Linked DNA regions of Callithrix jacchus. The protein of the gene in region 1 purifies or fractionates together with the protein of each later gene. This does not show direct contact. Links are inferred from orthologs where the notes say so. Each region holds a gene or a part of one and is shown in the gene's direction. Other genes may lie near its edges.

Region 1 (3,812 bases):
CCACCATGCCCGGCTAGTTTTTTTTGGTATTTTTAGTAGAGATGGGGTTTTGCCATGTTGACCAGGCTCGTCTCAAACACCTGACCTCAAGTGATCTGCCCCCTTCAGCCTCCCAAAGTGTTGGGATTACAGGTGTGAGCCCCTGCACCTGGCCAGAATCTCTTCAGTTTTCTTCTCAGTCTTTGGAATGGTAGCTTTTCAGATGTTTGTCATTGAAGATATCAATGACTCCTAAATGTTAAACGAAATGCAATCACTATTAAACATGATTTTTAGAAAGAATCATATCCCTGGTGTCCAGAATCTTAAAATGCTAATGTAAAAGATTATCTCGAATCACTGAATTCAAAATTGTTAGTTGTTTCCTGTTAATCTAAAGATCCTTTAGGATCCATTCATTTGTTTTCATGGCATCTACATTATTTACCTAAAGAGAGAGCGTATTAGTTTTTTGAACATCAGTAAAACTTGTCAGTAAAGTGTACAGATTTAACTTTAAATTTTAAAGTAAATATTATTCTTCATTTTGAAAAAAGTATAATGATTAATCTTTTAAAATGTGAAATTCATAAAAATATATTCTACTTGTCAATAAACCTTGTGAAAGGAGTCAATCTCAATTGGGAGTTATTTCAAAATTTTTATATACACAAATATATACATATGCATGTGCACACACACACACACACACACACACACCCTCCTGTAGCACATACTTGTAGCCAGGTGTCTATCAACAGAACAATCTGTGGATGACTTTGCTTGTGTGAGGCGTTACTTTCAGTCATTCACTTGTCTGGTTAGAGTTTAGGAACCTGAAAAATGACCAACTTTTCTAGTAAATATTGTTAACTCACTAAAGGAACTAAATTTTCTTCTAGATTACAGATCTCCATTTATTGCTTCTGTTAGTGACCAACATGGAGTCGTGTACATTACTGAGAACAAAAACAAAACTGTGGTGATTCCATGTCTTGGGTCCATTTCAAATCTCAACGTGTCACTTTGTGCAGTAAGTTGCATCTCCTTCAATTGTCTCTTAAGTTTTTATAATTTTAAGCTAATATTAAGATGGGAAGTCTGTTTATAATATTTACAATGAGTTTTAAAGTTCCTTTAGGAAGGGTCAAATACAATGAATACAATGAATTGGTATTCTTAAAAATAAGACGAATTCTTCAGTCATACATGGCTCTCATTTTTGGTACTGGATTAAATATTTGATATTTCTTTTTATTACCCAGAGGTATCCAGAAAAGAGGTTTGTTCCTGATGGCAACAGAATTTTCTGGGACAGCAAGAAGGGCTTTACTATTCCCAGCTACATGATCAGCTATGCTGGCATGGTCTTCTGTGAAGCAAAAATTAATGATGAAAGTTACCAGTCTATTATGTACATAGTTGTGGTTGTAGGTAAGAGGACAGTTCCTTTCCATATCATTAATAACAGACAGTAAAGAGTAACTCCCTGTATTAAGATCTTGGAGATTAAGATGTACAATGAAAAAGGATATTGAAAAGTATAAGAACTCAGGATATGGTGCTGGGCAGTTCATCTGCCCTTCTCTGCCAAATAAACCCAGGTGCAATTGAGGTTGTCTCTTTTCTTGCCAAGATCAAGGATGAAAAGGAAATTTTTTTTAAAAAAGGATGAAAATGAATGCTATTATTGAAGCACATTTTATGAAAATTTCAATGTTCAGAACATTGCTTACTATCAATGATCTTAATTGTGCCTATTTTATGGAACGTTCAGCAGTTTGCTAAAGCTAGCCCTACTGACCTAGGGCTACTGACCACTGAAAGTTTACTACTTTTCTATCCACTGGCTTACAATATCTTTGTGGTCTCTGAAGATAGTACTTTGTAAAGCTCTGCTGGCCTTTTTGCTGGGAGCTACCAAGTATTGGTGAGGCCTGCAGGGAAAAACAATGTCTCACATTTTAAAGTTGCATTCCTTTAAAAAATAACCTTGTGCAAAGTTATAGGCTTATTTTCTCTCTCATCTTCTGTTTTTTTCAATTTCCTTGCTCTAGGATACAGGATTTATGATGTGGTTCTGAGTCCATCTCATGGAATTGAGCTGTCTGTTGGAGAAAAGCTTGTCTTAAATTGTACAGCAAGAACTGAACTAAACGTGGGGATTGACTTCAACTGGGAATACCCTTCCTTGAAGGTAACACTAGTGATCAAAGCCAGACCTCCAAACACTTAGATAATAAGCCCCAATGAAGTTTGCTTGAGAGATAGGGGCCTCTTTGGCTAGATAAAATATAAGAGCCTTAAAACACACACAAACACACACACACAGACACACACACACACATATACACACACACATATTTTAAGAGAATTGCAGAAGAGATAGCACCCACAAAAAAGGTGAAATACCAGGAATTTTGTCAGGCTATGAATATCAGTTTTCTCTAGGTGATTACATCCTTCCACATTATATCATTTCTCTGTTCTCCAAAGTTTTTGATTTACATTCCCTTTAAGGGAATTTCTCTTTAAGAAGTGGCATGAGATATACCTGCGCTTTAAACATTGATCACATTTGCTGATGTTTCTGCAGTGTATATCCATCTCATTTTCACCATGTGAGGTTTTAAAAATCCTAATTCAATTTGTTCCATTTATTTCTGCTGAAATCAAATATATTTGTTGTCTACATGAGGTTGAAAGTTCCAGTGTCCCTATTATTAGCATTAAATAATGTTTACCAAAGGCTAATATTAAATTCTGTGGGTAACTAGAAGCTATTGGTTAATGTTATGCCATGCTTTGGTTGTTCATTCAACTCTTTTTTCAGCATCAACATAAGAAACTTGTAAACCGAGACCTAAAAACCCAGTCTGGGAGTGAGATGAAGAAATTTTTGAGCACCTTAATTATAGATGGTGTAACCCGGAGTGACCAAGGATTGTACACCTGTGCAGCATCCAGTGGGCTGATGACCAAGAAGAACAGCACATTTGTCAGAGTCCATGGTAAGCTATGGTCTCCTTGGAAATTATTCTGTGCCTTGACAAGTGAGATAATTTAAATAAATGTAGGTCACTTAGTGATTCCTATTTTGTTCATTTGGAAGATACTTTTGAGTTCTTCTTGTTAGGGAGGCCACATGATCTGGACGTCAAGAGCGTAGCTTTGTCGTCAGGAACTTGGGTTCAAACCTCAACTTTGAAGATGAGACGTGCTGGTGTATATTAAGTGCTCACTTCATATTACTTGCTATAATTGTTGCTGCTATTAGGTTACTATAATTAGTATTAGGTAAGGTAGTTTTAAAATTTTCACTTTATTGCAAGGCTGAGAGGCCTACTTAAATAAGCATGAGCTTTGCAGACTGGGGAAACATTTGGCAACATACAGCTGACCTGTGAATAACTCAGGGGTTGGGAAACTGACCCTCTTCTGCAGTCAAAAATCCATGTATAGGCTGGGTACAGTGGCTGACGCCTGTAATCTCAGCATTTTGGGAGGCTGAGGTGGGTGGATCACCTGGGGTCAAGAGTTCAAGACCAGCCTGGCCAACATGGTGAAACCCCCGTCTCTACTAAAACTACAAAATTTAGCTGGGCGTGGTGGGGGGTACCTGTAATCCCAGCTACTCAGCAGGCTGAGGCGGGAGAATTGCTTGAACCTGGGAGGTTGCAGTGAACCAAGATCACTCCAGCCTGGGCAACAACAGGGAAACTCCTTCTCAAAAAAAAAAAACAAAAAAAAAAACAAAAAACTAAGGTATAACTTTTGACTTCCACAAAATGTAACAAATAGCCTACTGTTGACTGGAAGCCTTACTGATAACA
Region 2 (4,380 bases), on another chromosome or scaffold:
ATCCTTCCATCTCACTCCCCATCTTGTGCTCTGATTTGCTAAGCACCCCTGGGCCCTCTCTTTCTCAGGGTCTCTGCTTGCCCAGCTGTATAATAAAACAAGTTTGGGACTTCCCAACCAATCGCCCTGGAAAAACAGAAGCAACTCTTCAAAGGACAGATTCCCAGGGTCTGCCCTCAGAGATTCCAAATCATTTGATCTGGGGCGAGCCCAGGCCTCTGTAGTTGTTAGAAGCTCCTCCAGTGTCTCTCCTGGTTAGCAGAATCTTGGCCGCTCCCTTTCCCCAGCCTCCTGGATCTGCTGGGCTCTGGTCCAGCCTCAGTGTCACTGTCTTTCACATCCCTCTTTGATTCTCATTTATCTCAAGAGCTCTGTGATGCTGAGGCTGTGATTATCCCCATTTTATGGATGAGAAAACTGCAGCTCCAGGGTGACATGACTGGCCCAAGATCACATCAGAAGCAGAGCTCGGTCACTTGACTCCACCCAATTCCTAAAGGCAAATGGTTCCTACAGACCAAGGCTGGCATCCATGCCCACCCCAACCAGGAGAAGCCAACCTGGCCCTGCAGAGCCAAGAACTGCTGTCTCTTTCCCATCTCCTGAAGCCTCCCCATCACCTTTAAAGTCCATCCCCACAAAGACATCATGGGGTCACCAGGAAAATCAAGCTCTGGGGCTAGGCTGACCCCAGCGCAATTTTTGGCTCTGTTATATCCCAGCTGCGTGGCCAAGCACCTTAAACCCACTGAGCCTCAGCTTCCCAGGCTATAAAATGGGGGCAATAAGACCGGGCACGGTGGCTCAAGCCTGTAATCCCAGCACTTTGGGAGGCCAAGGCAGGTGGATCATGAGGTCAGGAGTTCAAGACCAGCCTGGCCAACATGGTGAAACCCCATCTCTACTAAAAATACAATAAATAGCTGGGCATGGTGGTGCATGCCTGTAGTCCCAGCTGCTCGGGAGGCTGAGGCAGAGAAATGCTTAAACCTAAGAGGCAGAAGTTGCAGTGAGCTGAGGTCACACCACCGCACTCCAGCCTGGGTGACAGAGCAAGACTCTGTCTCAAAAAAAAGGGGTGATGACACCTGCCTGCAGCATTCCAAGGAGGGTTAAATGTGCTGTTGCAGCTAAGGGTCCCCACAGCCAGGACCTTGGCAGGTGCTAGGCTCAGGGTCCCAGAGCTGAGGTCAGGAGTTGGGGTTCAAGTGGGGTGTCCCAGGTGGGGTCCAGGGCCAGGCCTCTGTGGAAACAGCTATCTGGGGCCAAGGCAGCCACCCACCGAGGGGCCTGCCTATCTGCAGTCAGCCCAGCCCTCACAAAGGAACAATAACAGGAAACCATCCCGGGGGGAAGTGGGCCATGGCCAGCTGGAAAACCTGAAGGGGAGGCAGCCAGGCCTCCCTCGCCGGTGGGGTGTGGCTCCCCTCCAGAGACAGTCGGCCAGCGGGCTCCACAAAGCTCCACTCACACTCAGCCCTGGACGGACAGAGAGCCCGACGGAATAGAGACGTCCCTCAGCCCGCAGGCACGGTGAGTGGGGCTCCCACATTCCCCTCCACCGCAGATCCACCACCCTGCGCCCAAAGCGGGAGGGTCTGTAGAATAGGTGTCCTAGTGCTCCCAGGACAGAGCAGCTCCTGAAGGGCATGCTGGGCCTCCTTGTGGCTCAGAGCAGGGTCGGGTAAGGTGCACCCAGAGGTGGTGTCAAGGGCACAAATGGGCATCTCGCAGGGCAAGGGCTCGGCTCTCCCACAAGTGGACTCTCCAACTCAAAAGGGCCCACTGGCCTTCATCGGTGCCAGGCTCAGAGAGGGCAGGATTCTGCCCCAGTCACCCATCATGCCAGGGCAGAGGACTGGCACCCAGGCTTTGGCCTCCCCTCTGTGCCTTTAACCTTACTGGAGAGGATTTACCAAGGCCTGACACCCCCTCCTCAGCCCCATTCCCATGCGCCACCGAAACTCTATGCTGGGATCTGGGGAGGGGCCCAAAAAGGGGAGCTCTGAGCCTCGGCCTCTCTCTATCTGCCAGTGCCAACATTTCAGAATAGGCAAACTGAGGCTTGGCTCTGGGCACTTGAGGCCCTGCCCGTGAAATCCCCTCCTTTCCCTACCCCAAAACCATAGGGGCTGCTGTGTGTTGGAGGGAGCCATAGTCGGGACAGTGCCACCCCCCCTTTCTCCTCTCAGCACCCTTTGAAAGGCTAGGGTGCCAGAGCCCCAAGGCCCTCACAGCCCAGGAAGTCCCCCAGAAGCAGGAGGTCAGGAGGTCAGGAGGTCTGGGCCAAGAGCCTGGCCTGGAGACAGCCGCCTGGGGTACAGATCCCAGCTCTCCCATTTGCTCTGGGGTGACCTTGGGAAAGCTACCTAGAGTTTCGAAACCGCAGTGGGGAATAAGAGATGACGTGGGCTCATTATTCTACCATTAACAACGCCACAGAGTAGACCTATTCTTTCTTTGTATCTCAGTGAAGGCAACTGAGCTTTAGAAAAATATGAGCCGGTGTGGGGATTTGAACCAGGACCTCATACCCCAAAGCCCCAGCTCTTTCCCCAGGTCTCAAGTGTCCTGTCTGTGAAATGGGGAAACAATGTTTCCTCGGTCAATCAAGTGAGGTGATCTACATCTCTGGTGCTGGGAATGGCACTAGGGCTTGAAGGAACAGTGGCTGGGTGTACCAGCTAGCCCAGAGCCCATCCTGGCTGTGAATGTCATAAGTTTTGACCTCGAGGTACAGTCAAGCCCCATCAGTGAGGGGTCCTCAGGTGCCCAGCAGGTACGAGAAAGGGGGTGCAAGTAAGAGGGCATTGCTAGCACCTCTGAGCACCTGCTCCACACCAGCCTCCCTCCCTGGCATGGACGTTTCTCCTGTGTGATGGGCAGATAGGATTCTGACCACAGAGGAAGGGCCTTCCCAGGAAGGCAGCTCTGAGGAACCGAGGGTGTACCTGGAGGGCTCCTTTGCCACAGGCCACTGGAGCCAGGGCCATGAGCCCTGGTCCGTCCTCAGGTGGTGGGAGCCTGGAATTCTCCTCTGCCTGCCCTGGAGGGCAGCAGGTACTCTCTGAGGAGCCCAAGAGCTGCTTAGGCCCCGGGCAGCCCTGCCAATTTCAGCTTACTGTGGTGAGGGGTAGGGGAGGTGCCTGGAAGGGGTTAAGCTGCCCGCCTGGCAGCCCCAGCCTGAGCTATTGTGTTGCTAAACAAGAGCCGGACATGAGGGCAGGAAGCCAGATAGGGCCACACATCTTCTGAGAAGCTGGATGATTCGCTGTTGACTCAGGGACACGCAGGGGACACAGTAGACACCGTCCCAGGAAGAATCTTCAGCCCTTTGGCTCACCTGGACCCATGCCTGGTCCCTGCATATTCTCTCTGCACCCCTTCAGTCACGCTGAAGTGACTACAAGAATTCCCATTTGACAGATGGGACCATCAAGGTTGAGGGAGGCTGTGAGACCAGTCCAAGTTTACACAACCAGCACGAGGTAGAAGAAGGGTGTGAGTGCAGTCCCTTCTGACCCACATTCCACAGTGAAGCTCAGAGGGGAAAAGCGGGGCAGTGCAGGCCACAGAGGTAGGCACAAGGACAAGCCAGGAGCCCGTCATCCCAGGGGGAGGAAAGTTCTAGAAGGCAGGTCCTGCCCTCAGGAGCTTCACTTCTGGCTGAGGAGATACTAAAAAGTCTGTCCTGACCCAGGTTCCAGCTGGGGTTAGGTGGGTAAATCACAGAGGGCTTGCTGAAGGAAGAGTGGGAATCAGAGGCCAGGAGGCCTCAGGCAGCCTCTCTGCAACCTAGGCCTCAATCTTCCCATCTCTCCAGGGTAGGGGGTGGTCCCTAAACTCATTCAGGGACGTCCAGGTTGTCTGCCTTAAACCACAGCAAAACAGTCAGGTCCTGGCAGGTCCGGATACTGGAAGGAGAAGGAAGTGGGACCCAAGGGCCAGCCAGGCGGGTGGTGAATGAGATTTCCTTCTGCAGAGGAACAGAAAGAGTACGAGGTGGGCCTAGAGTAGCGCCAGGAAATGAGGTAAAGTGTAAGTCAGCCAGTCGAGGCCACACCCCCCAGGCTGGAGGGAGTGGGTAGATAGGAGTCAAGATACCCACACACTTACTGAGCACCTACTGTGTGCCAAGCTTTGTACCCATGATCTCATTTAATCCTTCTGCCCAGGGAGGCAGCCATTGTTGCCTTCATTACAGATGAGGAAGCTGAGGCTCAGCAAACAGGGGATGAGCTCAAGGTCACACAGCTCCTGAGCAACTGGGCAGGTTCAAACAGGCAGGTGCAGCCCCTGCTGCCCTCACAGTCTGGGACAGTCAGGAAGCCCAGAGAAGGCTGGAAGGCTCCTTGGCATGACCATTCTCACCTTGAAGTC

The links.
Region 2: the proteins of KDR (region 1) and CDH5 purify together in Homo sapiens (affinity purification with western blotting; 3 studies listed by BioGRID and IntAct, with this or other methods). This does not show direct contact. The link is inferred for Callithrix jacchus from reciprocal best matches to the Homo sapiens genes KDR and CDH5.

What each region holds. Positions count from the first base shown.
Region 1 is NC_133504.1:141,638,428-141,642,239, forward strand, and holds part of KDR (vascular endothelial growth factor receptor 2), read left to right. Parts: intron 1-881; coding exon 882-1,012; intron 1,013-1,244; coding exon 1,245-1,413; intron 1,414-2,036; coding exon 2,037-2,176; intron 2,177-2,812; coding exon 2,813-2,990; intron 2,991-3,812. UniProt on the Homo sapiens protein: Tyrosine-protein kinase that acts as a cell-surface receptor for VEGFA, VEGFC and VEGFD. Plays an essential role in the regulation of angiogenesis, vascular development, vascular permeability, and embryonic hematopoiesis.
Region 2 is NC_133521.1:23,890,135-23,894,514, forward strand, and holds the start of CDH5 (cadherin-5), read left to right. Parts: upstream 1-1,469; 5' UTR 1,470-1,533; intron 1,534-4,380. UniProt on the Homo sapiens protein: Cadherins are calcium-dependent cell adhesion proteins. They preferentially interact with themselves in a homophilic manner in connecting cells; cadherins may thus contribute to the sorting of heterogeneous cell types.